Linked DNA regions of Saccharomyces cerevisiae S288C. The protein of the gene in region 3 interacts with the protein of the main gene of each other region in a biochemical or structural test. Each region holds a gene or a part of one and is shown on either strand. Other genes may lie near its edges.

Evidence for each region.
Region 1: the proteins of HHF2 (region 3) and RTT109 form a complex in vitro, tested with the Saccharomyces cerevisiae proteins (2 studies listed by BioGRID, with this or other methods).
Region 2: the proteins of HHF2 (region 3) and SIR3 form a complex in vitro, tested with the Saccharomyces cerevisiae proteins (8 studies listed by BioGRID, with this or other methods).
Region 4: of the proteins of HHF2 (region 3) and ESA1, one has a biochemical effect on the other in vitro, tested with the Saccharomyces cerevisiae proteins (6 studies listed by BioGRID).

The regions. Positions count from the first base shown.
Region 1 is NC_001144.5:143,812-148,730, reverse strand, and holds RTT109 (H3 histone acetyltransferase RTT109), read right to left. Parts: upstream 2,441-4,919; coding exon 1,130-2,440; downstream 1-1,129. Other genes in the region: dynamin-related GTPase DNM1, read right to left, coding at 1-841; SFI1 (Sfi1p), read right to left, coding at 2,690-4,919. UniProt on the Saccharomyces cerevisiae protein: Histone chaperone-dependent acetylase that modifies 'Lys-9', 'Lys-14', 'Lys-23', 'Lys-27', and 'Lys-56' on histone H3 (H3K9Ac, H3K14Ac and H3K23Ac, H3K27Ac, and H3K56Ac) to promote nucleosome assembly, genomic stability, DNA repair and transcriptional regulation during mitotic S-phase.
Region 2 is NC_001144.5:1,018,184-1,024,727, forward strand, and holds SIR3 (chromatin-silencing protein SIR3), read right to left. Parts: upstream 4,069-6,544; coding exon 1,132-4,068; downstream 1-1,131. Other genes in the region: 40S ribosomal protein eS1 RPS1A, read right to left, coding at 1-725; ECM7 (Ecm7p), read left to right, coding at 4,442-5,788; GMC2 (Gmc2p), read left to right, coding at 6,006-6,389, 6,472-6,544.
Region 3 is NC_001146.8:575,208-577,538, reverse strand, and holds HHF2 (histone H4), read right to left. Parts: upstream 813-2,331; coding exon 501-812; downstream 1-500. Other genes in the region: KTR5 (putative mannosyltransferase), read left to right, coding at 1-334; HHT2 (histone H3), read left to right, coding at 1,489-1,899; putative tyrosine protein phosphatase SIW14, read right to left, coding at 2,188-2,331. UniProt on the Saccharomyces cerevisiae protein: Core component of nucleosome. Nucleosomes wrap and compact DNA into chromatin, limiting DNA accessibility to the cellular machineries which require DNA as a template.
Region 4 is NC_001147.6:790,158-795,083, forward strand, and holds ESA1 (NuA4 histone acetyltransferase complex catalytic subunit ESA1), read left to right. Parts: upstream 1-2,373; coding exon 2,374-3,711; downstream 3,712-4,926. Other genes in the region: pseudouridine synthase PUS7, read right to left, coding at 54-2,084; DGA1 (diacylglycerol O-acyltransferase), read right to left, coding at 3,919-4,926. UniProt on the Saccharomyces cerevisiae protein: Catalytic component of the NuA4 histone acetyltransferase (HAT), a multiprotein complex involved in epigenetic transcriptional activation of selected genes principally by acetylation of nucleosomal histones H4, H3, H2B, H2A and H2A variant H2A.Z.

The DNA.
Region 1 (4,919 bases), on a different chromosome or scaffold from region 3:
TATCCTGTTGCGAGCGATTCACTACACCAACAAACCCCAATTTCAGAGGATACATTTTTCCAGACAAGATATCTAGAGCATTAGTCCCAGAATCCATCAAATCTAATTTGGTAATGACACCAATAGTCCTTTTGCCCTGAGGGTCTACCTCTCTGGCCAACTTTAAGGATTCAGAATTAACAAGATCAACGTTAGCTGGAGAGACGGCCAAGATTAAACAATTTGGAGTGGCTATATAGTCTAGGATCAAATTCTTGATTTGCTTTTCAATATCAGGTGGTTGTTCCCCAATAGGAACCTTTGTAATCCCAGGCAAATCTACTAGCGTTAGATTCAAAACATGAGGGGAAAACACTTTCAAATTAATCGGAATCTTACTGATGCCCTTATCCTTACCGGCTATCCTCGCTGTTTCGTTTTCGATTTCTCTTTTGATATCGTCGAAATCATAAAACCGTTTTCCTGGTATATGCAGGAATTCCCCCCACTCATCTGCATGATTTCTTTCCTTGCCCCTATACTCCAAGGGCTTCGTACCAGCTTCGAATCCTGATATTTTTGTAACTTCATCATGTGGATTAACTGAGTTATCATCTTCCTCTATTAGAGGAGAATTTGGAGATATGTTATTAAGTTGAAGAACTAACGGTCTTCTTGTGACAATACCAGTACCCCTAGGTAAAAAATCTCTTCCAACTAACGTTTCCAATATCGAGGATTTCCCGGAGGATTGTGACCCAACAACAGCTAAAATGGGCAAATCGAGTGTATCGATCCCGGAGTCGTACATAACATCCTGCAGCTTGTTGACAGTAGGAATAAGATCTTCTAAACTAGCCATTCTTTATCCGTCGTATTTAGATTCGCTGGTAGCTACTTAATGATAAACTCTTTAGCAAATTGTGGCCAACCTGAGCAGTAGAGTAAAGGTAATATTTCATCCTACCCTCTTATTTATTGTTCCCACACTTTGTTTTGCCCGACCTTACAGGCGTGCACCGCGTAGTAAAAGTTGAGGACCTATCATTACCTAGAAAGGTGGCGATCAAGGTACTAACAATAAATACAAACATGCATTTTCTAAGATCGATGCTACATACGTGTACTAAATAATAAATATCAATATGTATCAAGTTTTAGGCAAGGCTTTAGCTTTTTTACGCGGTTTTAGCATTGTTATCGCCAACGTGTTGATGTTGCTTGCAGGAACCGGCTGATTTCTCTCCCGATGCTCCCTCTTCCCTGTTAAAGATTGAAGATTTGTTGCCATTCTGAGCAATAGAAAATCACGAATATTGGTGAAAGCTTCTATTGCGCCTTCCTCTGTATCGTATTCCTCTCCAGTAATGTACTTCTTGATTGCCCTAAACTGCTTCCTTGACTTCGGTACAATAACATCGGCACTAGATGGAAATAAAGATGGAGTGGCAAGAGAGTATCCCGAAATACCCATTACAGATGATGTGACACTTAATTTGAACTCTTGACGCTCTTGTAGTTCAATCCAGAAGGATGATAAGCTTACTTTGAGGAGGCGATCTTCCTCTGCCAATTGGTGTATAAATCTAGCCTTAGGATCGTCTGGGAATAATGGAATATTATATACCGCAAGAGAATTTTCTTTAGAGGTAAATATATCACCCACTTGCCATAGTGGATATTTCATCCCTCTTAGGTATGATCTTACTCGAGCAGGATCTTCGCCCGGTATCCTTAATTTTGCTTGTGTATCATTTTGAAAGCATTCAATTAGTAATCTATCCAAAATAAAGCCCCACCATTTCATTAGTTCCTCGCCATTTAGTATATGCTTTTTGCTGTTTTTTGAAGAATCTGGGAAGAGGTACTGGGATGCAGGTCTAGTAAATAAACAAATTTTGGTCAAAATCTCACGAGGACAGGTGAATGAGAGATAAAGATCTTGTTGAAAACGTGGAGATTCTATTTCTTTCAAAACGGTGCTGCCTGACTGTTTAAGCCTTCTAGCCAAAATCCTTAAAGTTCTTGCTGGCGTACTGGCTGCGCTAATCAGCTCGGGGGATATCTTCTTATATGATCTTATTGCCGGTTTTACTTTTTGAAGATAGTAATTCGGGTCGATTGATAATATAAATTCTAATATTATTTTTGTAATATCTCTAACGCTTACCCTCGTATTACAATAACCATTAGTGTCTGCCTTTGATACAAATATTAACCGTTCGGCATCTGCTTCATCCCAAAGCGTGACATACACATACACTTCTAATGAAAAAAAAACTTTTCCTTGGTGAAATAGACTAAAGAAGTGTTGAGTCTTGATCGTGCTTTTTGGGACCCTTTTGTCGTCCTTATTTGGGGTTACGACAGCATGGGTTTCTAACGGAATAGATTGCAACGATAAGTATTCAAATTGTTCACTGACAGGTAGCACGGAACTTAGGAAGTCATTCAGTGACATGTCTTATTGAAGACCGGTTGAATTGACCTTTTAACTCTACTGGACAACTCTATTGACAAACTGTAGTTTGTTAAGTAATGCGTTATGGCGTCCATTTTCCATTATAGCTTACAACGCGAACACGAAAAGTATAGTATGTTGTGATGTTTTCATAGACCTGGAGAATATTATTAGTAATTGTATGCATCTCAGAAGCAAGAAAGGTTACGACTACATATGCACACATACATACGTACATAATATATATATCTATTGACGTTTACGACTTAACGGGGATTTATCATGCTCTCTTATATAATCCATATCTTGATCGATTTTAGGAGAATTGGCGCTTAGGCTAAAAGGTACAGCGGGTATTCTGCCAAAATCAATATGGTCAACTTTGGATGGCATGTTTCTAGTGGTACGCCTAGGAGAATACCTTAGAGGTTTTCCTCGCGTCGGAGATCCGTTTAAGCCTGTCGTACTTTCAAGGTTGATCTGTTTTTTAGCTGTAGAATCAAGAACACTGGAAGATTTCACCGGACTTGGTATGGCTCTTCTTGCCCTGCTATAATGCGACTTCATCGCTTCCATTCTGTGCTGCTTTATTCTTTCTGAGCCTGGTATGGTTGAGGCGTTTTGAGAGTCTGATCTTATGGGAGTTTTTAGTTCATGTTTAAGATTGAAGTCCTTCCTTCTCTTTGGAGAACTGTCTGAACGATTTTTCCATAATAATAACAATCCCCTTACAGTGGCCCTGTCCCACCGATGACGAAACACCTCGACTGTCTCATCATTACGCTTAATTTTTAGGAATCGAAGACTCCACATTTTCAAGAATTTGGATGTAATTATGAATTGTTTATTAGCTTCCGATTGTTCCAATAATGTACTCATATAAAATATTTCGTCTAGATGAGTTTTCCAAATATAAAACGTCTTGACTAACACAAATTCTTCGCGAACTTCGTCTGCTAATTCTTCTGATTTTACTATCTCTAAAAGTCTTTCTCTAAATTTCTTCAGCACCATTTTTTCAAGCTGGTAGTTTCTCTTTGAAATAGCCTGAATGTTACATTCTTCTGTGTAGAAGCAAAATCTATTTCGCCAAGCGTTGAACAGTTGGCTTTGAAGTTCGCGCTCTTTACTCTTTTCATAAACGTGTAAAATATCGTTTAACTTATGCCTGACTTTGAACCTTGTGGCTTTCCGCCACTTTAAAAAGGCCTTAGAAAGCTTTACTCTATCCATAGAGGGCGCCAGTTTCGTATATAGCAAATGAACATTATCAATATGCATTAGCGTCCGTTTTACAGTCAAAATTGCATGTGTCTTACATAAGAAATTGTATCTATCCTCCAATTCCTTAGTTTTAATCAGGCGTTCTTTCCATATAGCTAGACACTCATTTACGAGACCCTCTTCGTAAAATTTGGATGCTTCGTCATTCATAGAATTCATTTGTAGCATCCTCCTTTTCCACACACCAAGATATTTTGCACAAAATGCCGTTTTAACATGTTCGCTCGATATTTTCCCATACTGTATTCTTTTCCTCCATGTACGATACGCGCTTGCTTGAATACTCTTTTTACATTTCTGCTCAAATATTTTTAACTTTACTTCAAGTTTCCAACTTCGCAATGATGACTTGAGCAAATTAGTCCTCGAATAATCGCTTGCTTTGAGGTCAATATATAGAAGTTTTTTCCATGAATGAAAAATACGCTTCACGAGGTTAGCCTCTTTTAGACTTACAATTGAATACAAATGCAGATGGTCTTCGAATCTTTTCAGCCACATCTTCTCAAAAACGCACCTCAAAAGTGTCTGATTTAGTTTACTCTTTGCAATTGCCTCTTGTTGACTATGTTGAAATGACCGGTTTAATTTGCGAAAAAACTTTTGTTTGATGAATTTATTCTCCAGTTCATAAAGTGCCCCAAGTTTATCTTCGTTTTCAATGTTTTTCTTTTCCCATTTATTCAGATATTTTCTTTGTAGAGAAAACGACCTCACTTTTTCTGCAATGCTCTTATTGTATTCATAGTTTATAACTTTCTGTTTTATTCTTTCGAAAATCCTTCTTTCCAACCCGTGGTAGTTTATTTCTTTATGTCTTAGCTTCCATATATGAAATGTTGTTCGTAAAAATATCTTCTTAATGTTGTCAGTGTTAACAGTTTCTAAGTGTTTCCAATGCTCTTGTGCCTTTAAAATTTTCCTAAACATCTTATTCAAAAAGGCCTGATCTGCTAACCTTGACTGCTCCTTAAGAGTTTGTGTTAAAGTTATCCATTGTTGGAACGAGCGAAATAGTAGCCAAGTATTCCTAAAACTTTCAGCTTCATCGTTGGCCATCTGTGAGTATTTTAATGTTTTATCACTCCAAATATAGAAGACGGCTTCCTGTACCCTCAGCTTTGCTTGATTTGCAAACCTGTTTGCCTCTTCATTCAATTCACATACAGTCTTCCAGTGATTAAAATGTCTTCTG
Region 2 (6,544 bases), on a different chromosome or scaffold from region 3:
TTACCCTTTTCTTCACCAGAACCTTCACCGTGCAAAGCCATCAAAGCACCGACATCGAACTTTGGTTGTTTCAACAACTTAACCTTTCTAACATGGATGTTTTGTAGTGGGAAAATGTCCTTGGTGGCGTTTTCAATTTCCTTGTTGATAACTTCTGGAATCAACTTGGAGGTCAATTGGGCCAAGGTAGATCCTTGAACTTCCTTAGTCAAGATTTCGGAAATAACCTTTCTGATAGCTCTGATATGGGAAGATTGAGCGTAAGAGTGTCTCTTAACTTGGTTAGCTTGCTTTCTGGTGAAGGCGATAGCAAAGATTCTCAAAACGTAATCATCAGAAGTCTTAACAGTAACGTTAGCTTCGATCAAAGTTTGCCACTTTCTAACCATGGATCTCAATTTATCAGTAGTGAAGTCCATACCGTGGAAGTTGGTCAATAAATTCTTACCTTGGACTTCGTCAACTCTTAATTTGATTTTTCTGAAAGAGTGGTCTTCAGAACCCTGTAAGTCAGCCAAGCAAACTTCGACAACTCTACCTTTCAAAGCATCTGAAGCACTCTTCAAACCAGTGGACTTGTTAACTAAAGTCTTACCAACATTTCTGTTTTCAAAAGTGGATGGAGCTTTAATGTCGAACCATTCCTTTCTGGTAAATGGGTCAACGACTCTCTTCTTTTGACCTTTCTTACCCTTGGATAGTCTCTTATTCTTTCCGACAGCCATGATTAAACGATTGGTTATTCGTGTGCTTGTTTTGTTTCCTTAATATTAAAGTTCACAACGTGAACACCTTCCTTTCTTAATAGAATAGTTGTGACATCTAGTCATTTTGGGTATATTATCGCGCAGGTGAGAGAGTCCTGGAATTTCCAGCGGATGGTGACGCGAGGCATCCGTAGTGCACAATAAAAAGTTAGTTTTTCATTAACCGAAAAAAAAAAAAAAATAAAATATATTAATGTTTGGGTTTCAACGTTTCCGTGGGTCTGGGTCCACAACAGAAAACTGTCCTGAAGTTTGATTAGGTTTTAGTAAGTAAACAGTTATGGTTACATTATTAAGGAATACAGAAGAGACTGCATGTGTACATAGGCATATCTATGGCGGAAGTGAAAATGAATGTTGGTGGTCAAATGCAGTCCATATTTTTGAATTCTTCATCCATCGAAAAGGCGTAATTTATTTCTAAAGGAAGTTTTAGTTCTACCATAATGCTTGCACTGGGCTCCTCGAGCACCACAACAACTAATTTTTCTCCCACTAAATCATTCACTACACTTATCCAAGAAAATTGCTTTAGTTTCTCTATAGTTATTGCGGGCTCCCAGGCACCGCATATGACCTTCTTAATTTCTTTTGACGCCTTGTACCCTGGGTTGTCCCGCAACATCTTCACCATCTTAATCAGGACGGTCTCCAGAGCAAGCGTATGACGATTCGTGCCTTCGGTTTCTTGCGCCAGGGTATATAAAAATGTTCTCATCAACAGAGACATTCCTATAATCTTCTTTGAAATAGTTTCATCCTTGAATCCGTTAATAGCTTCTGAGAAATAGCGTGGTACCATCTCCTGTGACACTACCAATTTACCCTTTTGTAGACCACCTTTCCGTACGAAGTCTTTTTTAGAAATTTCTACGGCAGCTTCACATATTTTGAATGCTTTTTCAGTACTACCACTTACGTTGGCTACGTTCTTTGCAATAAGTTGAGTGATTTTGTTGTTGATCTTATGATTGATTACTATCACATTATCTGGTATTTTCTGGTTCTGTCCTTCGCGAATATTATTGTAAATAGTCATTTCCTTCTTATCATTTACTTTGACATGAAAAGGTTTCAATAAAGATTTGAGTCGCGTGATGATCATTTGTTGCAATTCATTCTTGTCCACCTTATTAAGTTTGATTTCGGTAAAGTGTGCTTTGAGGGAGGGCATTATATTTATTTGCTCTCTAATCGTCACATTATGTCCGCCAACGCAAATGATAGACAATTTTGAATTTTTCGAAGAAATCCATTTCTCGAAATATTGTAAAATCTTCTCACTCAATAGATTTTCCGGATTTTGTATTAATATTAGTGTCTTTCTCTTTTTTGCTTTCGGGACATTTGTAATATAGAAGTTTAAGGCCTCTAGTGATATATCACCGCATAGATTTTCTTTAGAAATGGCGAACCATATTTTCTCATATAATGCATCCATTCCTGCCAGTTCCAAGGCATCAATATGAATGTAATCGAAAATAGGTAGTTCCTTTCGGGCCGAAGAGGTGATCAACTCATCCATTACATCATTCACAAGCTGGAATTTAGTAGAATCATCTGCATTGGTAATATAAAATAGTTTATTTTGGGAAGACATCAAACTGTCGTAAATCGGAAGGAATATTCTTGTAAAATCCTCCACTTGTGATTTTAGTAGTTCTCTCTTTTGTAAAGATTCTCTAATTGATTCCTCTAAATTTATATCAGCGTTAAAATTTGACAGAATGGTTTCTCTTCCAGATGAAGAGCATGCTTTTCTAAACTTATCCTCAAGGCCTGCAACGTCCAAGCTTGACTGTTCGTCTGTTAATTTGTTCAATTGGGAGGAATCTGTTACTTGATTATCTGGTGCAAACCGGTCTAAAATTATCTGATATTTTTTTTTCAACTTTGACAAAGTAGCGAAATCAATCATCTTTGCATTACCTTTTTCTGGTGTAGGATTTTCGTTCATACTATGAATTTTGGTGTTGCCCCTGGGAATTCCAGGTTTTCCATTTCCGTTCATTTCGTTATCTGTTTCTGTAGTGTAATTTTTAGAAAATTCTTGTGTTTCTTGAATGTGGATTTTTCTAATTTTACTGCTCAATTCGCTTCCGTGAGCGCCACGTCTTTTATTTACTGGTATTATTGCTTCATCAGAACTTTCTGAACTAACTTCATCTGTTTCCTCTTCAAGCCCACCATCATCACTCACTTCTGGATTATTTGCATATACAAAATTCTCTCGGCCGTCAACGAGTTCTGTAGATGTCTTCTCTGGCTTTGACCCAGGTTTACTTGAAAGCACAGATGTTTCATTGTTTGGCTCATAATCGGATTCCTGTTCTGAAGAGTTTATTGGTATTTCCTCTGAAACAATTAGTTCCTTTGATATAGATCTTTTTTGTAAAATTTTCGAAGAATCTGTAGGTGATGTGAGCGCAGAAGGGGACGCCGATGAGATGTTAGGGGAAACAGACTCTTCTTGGGGAGAAATTGAACCATGAGTTGTTGACGTTCCTCGCTGAGACGGTATATTTCCATTATTTACGTCATCATCTGCAGAGGGCTCGATTTTAATTTTTTTCATTGAAGGTTTCTTTGCTAGTCTTTTTGAAGATCTTTCAACTCCCATCTTATGCATCACCTGTCTATTTGTCTTCTGCCCACTCACTGGTACAGATACTCTTTTCAAGTATTCATCAGATTGTTTGGGTTCCATTTCCTTTACTCTTCTTATGATTTGAAAAATATCAATTGGTACAAACTTTTCCGCAGTAGGTTCGCATGCATAACGTACTAGAAAATCTCTATCCTCTATTTTATCGATACTACTATCATTCCATTGTGACTCTGGCAGTATCTGTCCAACTGCAATGAAATCCTTAAGCCAAATCTCTGATAGCTCAGCAGTTAAATATAACTCGCTCTTATTTACTTCGTTGAAAAATTTATCTTTGTAAAATTCTAAAGGATGATCTTCCTTTATTAGATCTGGCCTGAATTGTTCGTAGTACAGTTTTGGTTTGAGTTCAAACCATCTCAAGTAAGAAAAAACCCAAATCTCCACAACATTATTAAGTGTATTGAGTCTGATCTCATGGATCAAGTAGACAGAATATGTTTCCGTCACATTATCATTAAATATCACGCTCTCACCCTTCCCAAAACTCAATCCATCAGAAATTCTTTTCAGAAATACGTTTTCTCCTCCTCTTTTTCTTGATCTTCTTCTATTGTTGTCGTCAATAACCCTCCCCTGATCATCTGTAATGATAACTTGCCAACCGTCCAAATCTTTCAATGTTTTAGCCATTTTAGCTAATCCAATTGTTAGAACAAAACAACTTTCTTAAACCCCTGTAAGGAAGGTGATGAAAGGGCTGCTTATGTGTTTTTCTTTTTCATACTATGTTCATTTTAACTTTTTTGGAAAGAATAGCGTTTTCGCGGTCATATTACTGATGCGATGAAAATTTACAATTATTTCTTTATTTAGATTGATACATAATATGGTTAACTTTAAATACATCTTTTGGACGCCGCATAAACAAACGTCCCGAATACTTTGTTCCCCTGGATTCGTTGTTTGCTTAACACTGTCAACTCTCTACTTAGTTTCATTTACACCATTTCTTTGTGTATCAGTCATTGCGAATACCCTTGCATATCTAATGGATCGAAAATAAATGGTGATGTCAAGAATACGAGATACAATAGCCAGGCCATTCCAGAACCTTACAGCCCTTGAGAAAGTGGTACAGTGGCTAAGATTAGGGACGACATTACTCATAATCTCTTTCGGGTTGGCGTTGACTGTCGGACCCCTTTCTTCGCCAAGAACATTGTACATGTCACGACTGGATACTTACTCTGCTGATATTACGACGGGTTTATTTACCGTGTTGAGAGAGTCTATGGAGCAGTCGACATCTACAGAAGAAAATAACGGTGTAGGCTTAACAACATCCGAACTGTATATATTGACTGCTTACACCGAAAGTCAGATAAAGAATGTTCCTCAGTACATCACAGTGTCGCTTTATGGGAGGTGCGATTCAACATATACCATGGTGGAAGTATTCGACTCTGAAGGAAATATGCATAGCGTAAAGAATTCGACTACTAAGAGTACCTGCAGTAGCATAGGAACGGACTATCTTTTTGATTATCGTGAGGTTTTAGAAAGCTTGGGTTTAGATATCATTTTAGATTATGCATACAACAAAATCGGTTCACAACAGGCAGAAAGTTCTGCATACACGACCTACATGAGGAGTTTAAAACATAAAAAGGCCAACGTGTTACATTTACTCTATGCAGTTATTAGTTTCCAGGTGTGTATGTTATTTTTCATGATATGGTACTACTACATAAAGGGAAGGTTTATGAACGCCCTCAAAGAAAGGGCACTTGTTCATATCAACTCTCTACTATCGCTAGTTGTTTTCATTGGGGGCCTGATAAGTAGCATAAGCCTTGCCTGGGTTAACTACACTATTCAGTCTAGAATTAATACAGAATTAGAGGCCTTCGGGTTTTCTTACCATCTTGGAGTTACATGGTTTGCGCTTCTGTGGTGTTTTGCAGGTTTGATTTCTGTGTCATGCTTAGCTTGGTCTGGCTTAGAATGGTGTATTTCCGATAATGGCACGTCCTATGGAGGTGGAATCGATGATAAATTCTTAGGCTACCAAGCCGGTGTATTTACTGATGCAGATCTAGACGATGAAACTTCTTACAGTCAACGTTATCCGCAACGACAGTCTACTTCGGGCGAGGCTGAACTGATGAGAAACAGTGATACTATGGCAACAATAAGAAAAACATCTGATGTTGACTTAAATAGTGAAAATGATGCTAACACCAGTTTAGACCATGGAAATCCCACCGCAAATATAAGCAATGGCGGCAAACACGAACCATTTGCTACTAGAGAGGAATTCGAATTGCAGGACATAAGATTCCGGTCAAGCAACGACAGTGAAGAAAGTATGCAAAGGGTTATCAAGCCTTCGTCAGCATTACAGTTTTGAATTCTTTCACCCATCATTCAAAATGCATATGCATACTATATTTGTCTAGTTTTTAATTATATAATAATAATAACAGAAACAAAAAATCGCATTCATCGTTTAATCTTATTTTTCTTTTTTCACCTTTTTCTTGTGAAATTGCCAAGCGCTTAAAAAATCGTTATTTCAGAACTAAACATCATTAAGCAACGAAGAAGAGAAAAGCGGAACTATAACCATGAGTGATACTACGGAAGTCCCTAGGCAATCATCTGAGAACGACCAGGATAATAACTTGGAAAGAACCAACTCATTAAAAAGTCCGGACGTGACCAACAATATACCAAGTCTTTTCAAATTAGCCGCCGAATGGCAAATCAACAATCCACAGGAAACCTTCCAAAACCATATCCTGGAAAATGATGTACTCAAGAAAATTAATGAAATCACTCATTTGATCCGGGAATCGTACAAAGACCTCTCCAGTCAAGATGGGATGATGTCCAAACAACAACAGGAAAAGATGGATTGGGATTTGTTTTGTACTGTTCCTGTAAACATTATTGAGCAATATACAAAAGACATGGACGAAATATATGAAAAAATGGAAAGGCTAGCAAAAGTAAGTATAGGTCGAAACTAGGCATCCTGTGCCATCTCAATTTTACTACGTTCTTTTACTAATAATGCAAATTTAATAACAGCAACAACGTCTTTGGTGTGAATCCGCTTTTCAAATAGACGTGGAAAGATGTGGTGACTCCATTCTCAATGCTG
Region 3 (2,331 bases):
ACACTATTTTAGAGACATCGGATATAGACACTCCACAATACAGCATTGTCCACATAATGCCATGGGGAATGAGGAATTCTCCTACTTAGCCAGTGACTCAAAATTCAAACGTAAAAACGCGGCCTACGACGAGGGAAGGGAATTTGGGTGTGGCTGCAGGTGCAGATGTCCCAAGAAAAAGCGTGAAATTGAGGATTCCATGGGTTTCTGCGTAAATATTTGGGTAAATCTGCTTAACCAACAGAGGGGACACGAACGCCACGTCGAAGCACTCAACGGCAATGAAATGGAGGAGCACATAAGGGAAGACTATCTAAGACAGTTCGGAAACTAGTTTCTTTTATTGAGACTTATTTTTAATATATATAGTACATGAAATAATAAAAAACCGAAAAATGCATACATAAGGTTCTATTATATTCCCAATAGAATGATCGTTATTTTATTTTTTGAAAGGCATGAAAATAATTTCAAACACCGATTGTTTAACCACCGATTGTTTAACCACCGAAACCATATAAGGTTCTACCTTGTCTCTTCAAAGCATAAACAACATCCAAAGAAGTAACAGTCTTTCTCTTGGCGTGTTCAGTGTAAGTAACAGAGTCCCTGATGACGGATTCCAAGAAGGATTTCAAGACGGCTCTGACTTCTTCGTAGATCAAACCAGAAATACGCTTGACACCACCTCTTCTAGCTAATCTTCTGATAGCTGGCTTAGTGATACCTTGAATGTTATCTCTTAGAATCTTTCTGTGACGCTTGGCACCACCTTTTCCTAGACCTTTACCACCTTTACCTCTACCGGACATTATTTTATTGTATTGATTGTTGTTTTTGCTACTCTTTTGAACAAGATGTAGGAAAAAAGATAGAGAAAAGAATAAATTAAGCGAAAAAAAAAAAATCTCTTTCACCGCCTCATCCTAATATACTTATATATGATATAACTACATACGCACAAACACGTATGTATCTAGCCGAATAACAACAGCCCAGGCGCGAGTGAACAACATATTAAATTAAACGCCTTCTTGTCAGTTGTTTTGTTCTGGTCTGGTCTGCATTTCGCGCCCGAAAAAGCTTGAGACGCGAAGCTCCCAGAACGTCCTGCCATACAAATGCGAAACTCTCGGTCTAGTACCACTTTCCCGGTGCCAAACGACCACAGTTGTCCGTTCCGAGCACTTCGCATTAAGCGCGTGAAACTATTGGCACGCCCTAAGGGGCTCCTACGGATGGGAGTTGGTCATTTAGCGTTCATTATCGCCCAATGTGACGCACAATCACGGCTATGGCTCGGTGTCAAAACATAGTTTGCGTGATAACAGCGTGTTGTGCTCTCTCGCGTTGCTTCTTGTGACCGCAGTTGTATATAAATAATCTTTTTCTTGTTCTTTTATATAGGACCACTGTTTTGTGACTTCCACTTTGGCCCTTCCAACTGTTCTTCCCCTTTTACTAAAGGATCCAAGCAAACACTCCACAATGGCCAGAACTAAACAAACAGCTAGAAAATCCACTGGTGGTAAAGCCCCAAGAAAACAATTAGCCTCCAAGGCTGCCAGAAAATCCGCCCCATCTACCGGTGGTGTTAAGAAGCCTCACAGATATAAGCCAGGTACTGTTGCCTTGAGAGAAATTAGAAGATTCCAAAAATCTACTGAACTGTTGATCAGAAAGTTACCTTTCCAAAGATTGGTCAGAGAAATCGCTCAAGATTTCAAGACCGACTTGAGATTTCAATCTTCTGCTATCGGTGCTTTGCAAGAATCCGTCGAAGCATACTTAGTCTCTTTGTTTGAAGACACTAATCTGGCTGCTATTCACGCTAAGCGTGTTACTATCCAAAAGAAGGATATCAAATTGGCCAGAAGACTAAGAGGTGAAAGATCATGAATATAAAGCGGGAATTTTTTTTTTTCTATGCATTTAGACTGGGGGGACATCATACAAACATCTCCTTTTTTAATACATTATTCATCTATCTATTCGCAATGCTTTTAACGACATGAGGAGGGTATATATGCTGTAATTTATCGTTTACAGACATAATTGCGGGGCTAATTTTTAGATGCTTAGATAGTATACGTAATTTTATAACCGGCAAGAAACCATGTATAATAATTATCAATAAACATCATTTTCGAAGAGACTAGTTACGTAAAGGTAATCACTGTCTACATATTACCATTGTAGAGGCAACCAGTTGTTTTTACTAGCAATCCTCTTAATTTCGTCATCGTCATACATCTCGATGAACTGCTGATCAAGCGCCCTGGCCTTCGGAAATGCGAAACGTCTGTACTCATCAAAAATCATCGTTAGCGA
Region 4 (4,926 bases), on a different chromosome or scaffold from region 3:
CTTCCGACAAAAAAAGTAAACTAATATACATGAATATTGCACCTCGTATAACCTTAGATATTCTCCTTAACATCACACATGTCGCCACGGCGAGAAGTCTCAAGCTTCATGAGTTCACGTAATGCCATGGTGGCATATGCGGAGGTTCCTAATTGAAATTTTAACACCACCGCAGTCTTCTCACCGCCTTTATCTGGCATATATCTGTCCAACTTGGCTTTCATATACTTCTGGCCGCTTTCTTTTGCTCTGGTGTTATTCAGGATGTCCAAATCAGTGTTCACCAATTGTTGAGAAGGATCATCATAGTGAATTATTCTATACTCTAAACTCTTTGGCTTTTGAATAACAGTTCTATAAGAGCCAGCCAATGAAAAATCGCGAACTTTTCTTCTCATATTAAATGGGTCCATATTATCTGCTTTCAATATATCCACATACAGTTGCTTCAATTCTTCGTTGGAAGGATAAAGCACATCAAAACCCGGCGATGGTAACACGACATCTTCCATGGTATACTTAACTGAGTCGATATCCTCTTGAGTTACTGCTTTTGCACGAATGAACTGAGCTTCACGGACATCTTCATCAAAGTCTTCATCGTCAATCCCAGAAATTAGTGGTGACTTTTCACTAGTATCAATGACAAGGTCACCTACAACTAACTTCAAACCATGTAGTTCTATCCGCTTACTAGCAATAGAATTCCAGACGTAACTTTGGTAGGCATGTACATACATAGTTCTCAAATTTCTGGGAATTTTCATAATAGCAGTATAATAAGCGTTCTCAGAATAAGTTCCATCTTCTTCTTTTCTTTGATTAGATAAAGAATATAGTAACGCATTTTCTGCGAGACACTGTCTTGGCATCTGCTTCAATGCTAAAGCCGCGTCCTTAGTTTCTGCCCAAATCTTCCTAGCTTCCTTAGATTTAGGAAGCACGTTATCCTGGTCAGATAAAATCAACTCAGCAGCCTTCTTCCAGTTTGAAAGGAGCAATTCTCTACCAATTGTGTGCGTAGAAATACTGAATGTACCGAATCTCTGCATACCAAAATAATTGATAAACCCATTTTCTGATAAAGACTTACAGCCGTTAGACACAATTTCTTCCAGTGATACCTCACTATTGCCGGTGGTAACATCTCTAATAACAACAACGAACTCATTTCCCTTCAAGTCTCCCAGATTCAAACTTGCATCCGAAAAATTGTAATTTCCGATAATCATTCCTTTTAAAGTCCTATTTAAAGCATTTAGTCTATCCAAACCAATCTTTGAAATCGAAACCCTTTGGCACGTTACTGCTCTACGATCCTTAGTACCTGCATATCTAATTACACGGCTTGGAACTCTTAACAACTTTGTTATAACATTGACAGCTTCCATAGTATCCTTATTTTCTTTATGTAGAGTGAAGTGAATAAAATCTTTACTGGGACCATATCCCCAATTTTCTACACCGTTAGCGTCCCTGGTTTGGTTAATTTTCTCTTGTTTATTGGTTCTTGAATTTCTATTTGATCTTGCAATCTTAAAAGTGTTAGTATCAGTAGTCACAGATTCTAATTCATTTTTAAATGCCTCACGTAACAGTTGGTGAATTTTAGTTCTAACAGATTTATCTTCGAAATTTTTTGCCGTTTCCATTTTATTAGCCGTGCGATAAACGGATTCTATTTTCAATACATCTTCCTCACCAAATATCTCCACCAATTGATTTCTTAATTCGGGGTCGACGTTGAATTCTTGTCTTCTAGCTGCTTCAGACTCCTTTTCTGCATTGACCTCTTCTTTAGAGCGTTGTGGTTTCTTTGGCATTTTAAATCCTTTATCAGTTAAGTGAATGACCTTACCTTCTTGATCTATTTCGTTGACCAAAAAGTCAGTATAACGCTGCTTAATTTGGCCTCTAAATCCTGGCAATTCTGGAGATAAGAACAAAGTAATACCGACATCTGCTTCGTGAATACCATCTGCCTGAGTACGTTGCTCAATTTTCAACTTCTTTGCAGCATTTTCGGAAGGTCCTACGTGAGCATCAAGGGGTCTCTTTACAGTGGCTTCTGAGGAGTCAGACATGGCATGCAACAGATATTGCTTTTTTCCTTGGGAAGGAACAACGTGATTATAATTAATCGATGAGCTGTACCTATTGACTATTTCATCATTATTATAATGATGGAAAATTTTCCAAATTACTACCCGCCCGTTGAAAAGATGAAAACGGCTTCCGGCGGAGCAAATGCAAAACGAATATTGCTAAAAGGTGTATATTATTATAGTAATCAAAGGAGAATAGAAAAGAGCTTTACCATTCTTTAGACGCTTCCTGTGCTACCATTCTCGGAAATACTGCAAGAAATCATCGATGTCCCATGACGGAAAAGAAGAACCTGGTATTGCCAAAAAGATAAACTCAGTAGATGATATTATTATCAAATGTCAATGCTGGGTCCAAAAAAATGATGAAGAACGATTAGCTGAAATTTTATCCATAAACACAAGAAAAGCACCACCAAAATTCTATGTTCACTATGTTAATTACAACAAGCGTTTAGATGAGTGGATTACCACTGACAGAATAAACCTGGATAAAGAAGTACTATATCCGAAACTAAAGGCTACTGATGAAGATAATAAGAAACAAAAAAAGAAGAAGGCAACAAATACTAGTGAAACGCCACAAGACTCTCTGCAAGATGGTGTAGATGGTTTCTCAAGAGAAAATACGGATGTTATGGACTTAGATAATCTAAATGTACAGGGAATAAAAGATGAGAACATATCACACGAGGATGAGATAAAAAAGCTTAGAACCTCCGGCTCTATGACACAAAATCCACATGAGGTGGCTCGAGTTAGAAATCTCAATCGAATCATTATGGGGAAATATGAAATAGAACCATGGTACTTTTCTCCATATCCTATTGAATTAACTGATGAAGATTTTATATATATCGACGATTTCACGTTGCAGTATTTTGGATCTAAGAAACAATACGAACGCTACAGGAAGAAATGTACATTAAGACATCCGCCAGGAAATGAAATCTACAGAGACGATTATGTTTCATTCTTTGAAATCGATGGTAGAAAGCAAAGGACTTGGTGTCGAAACTTGTGTTTACTTTCCAAACTTTTCCTAGATCACAAAACATTATACTATGACGTTGATCCGTTTTTGTTTTATTGCATGACGAGACGAGATGAGTTGGGTCACCATCTGGTGGGATATTTTTCCAAGGAAAAAGAATCCGCGGATGGTTACAATGTTGCATGTATCTTAACACTACCACAATACCAAAGGATGGGATATGGTAAGTTATTGATTGAATTTTCGTATGAATTGTCGAAAAAGGAAAACAAAGTTGGTTCTCCCGAGAAACCTTTGTCTGATTTGGGTCTCTTATCCTATAGAGCCTATTGGTCGGACACTCTCATAACGCTATTAGTGGAACACCAGAAGGAAATTACTATAGACGAAATAAGCTCCATGACTTCGATGACCACTACAGATATATTACACACAGCAAAGACACTGAATATCCTGCGATATTACAAGGGTCAGCATATTATTTTCCTGAATGAAGATATTTTAGATAGGTACAATCGACTTAAAGCCAAAAAGAGAAGGACAATAGACCCTAATAGACTCATATGGAAACCACCGGTATTTACTGCCTCTCAGTTACGCTTTGCCTGGTAAGCTATGTAGTGCTTTCCTAAACTTACATTCAAACAACTTCTAATGTAAAAGCTTTAAATAAATGAAATTTACGTAAAACAATCACTAATATTCAACGAGAACTCCAGTATTCCTGTAAGTTAATACTCTTACTTAAGATATACAGCCCAAACACTAAAAAATCCTTATTTATTCTAACATATTTTGTGTTTTCCAATGAATTCATTATTACCCAACTATCTTCAATTCTGCATCCGGTACCCCATATTTTTCTCTATTTTCGTAATATAGTCTTTTCAACTCCGCAATATACAAATCATGGAAATGATTAACAACATCATCTGGCGGATTTGTTATTTTCTTTTCAACGTATATAGGCCTTCCAACAACAACATTGATAGGCGCTCTAAATGGCAACAAACCGAAATCGTAATTGAATAATCCTCTTGCGTAGAAAATGGGAATGGTAAAACCAAAGTTTTCTTTGAACCATAGTTGCATTTTACCCAGGACTGAATCTTTTTTTGTGCTCAGAACATTATAACAGTCCACCTCTCCAAATGCAAACACAGGCACTAGGTTAATATTCCCCGTTTGAATGGCCAGTTTAATAAAACCCTTTCTTTTGTTTAAAATCAGTTGTGTACCATTTGTTGAACTTAATAAAGATTCCCTAGCGCCACCAACAACAATGCAGATCGACTGATTTTTGCTTAGAGTCCTTAAAGCGTTTTTCCGAGATACTGAAGAAATACCTAACGCCAATAAGTAGTCTCTATACAATGGGATATGAAATTGTGTGACCAGTGTCATCAGAGAAATAGGAATACCTGGGAAAATCTTGGAATAGTTACAACCTTCTGTTGCAAACGCTCCAAACGCACCAAGTGCTCCTATGCCGTGTGGATGGTAACCAAATAAGTACGTTGGCCCTGTACATTCCTGGTTGCGATAGTCAATAGTAGAGTTGCTTTTGAGATTAATGGAATACTTAGTTGGCCACAATCTAATCTTGTAATTTTTTTCGTTAACTCTCTTATTTTTTGAAAGCGTAAAAGTTGGTTTTAAATTGACAGTTTTAATCAAACTTATAGGGAAATAATCACAATACCACTTCCAAATGGGCAATGAACGAAATCGAAGAGAGTATCGATTTACCACTTCGCCAGTTGCAGGAGACCTATCGAAAAAAAAATAAATCATATATGGAATAGCAAGAACCCACAGTGCTGGTGT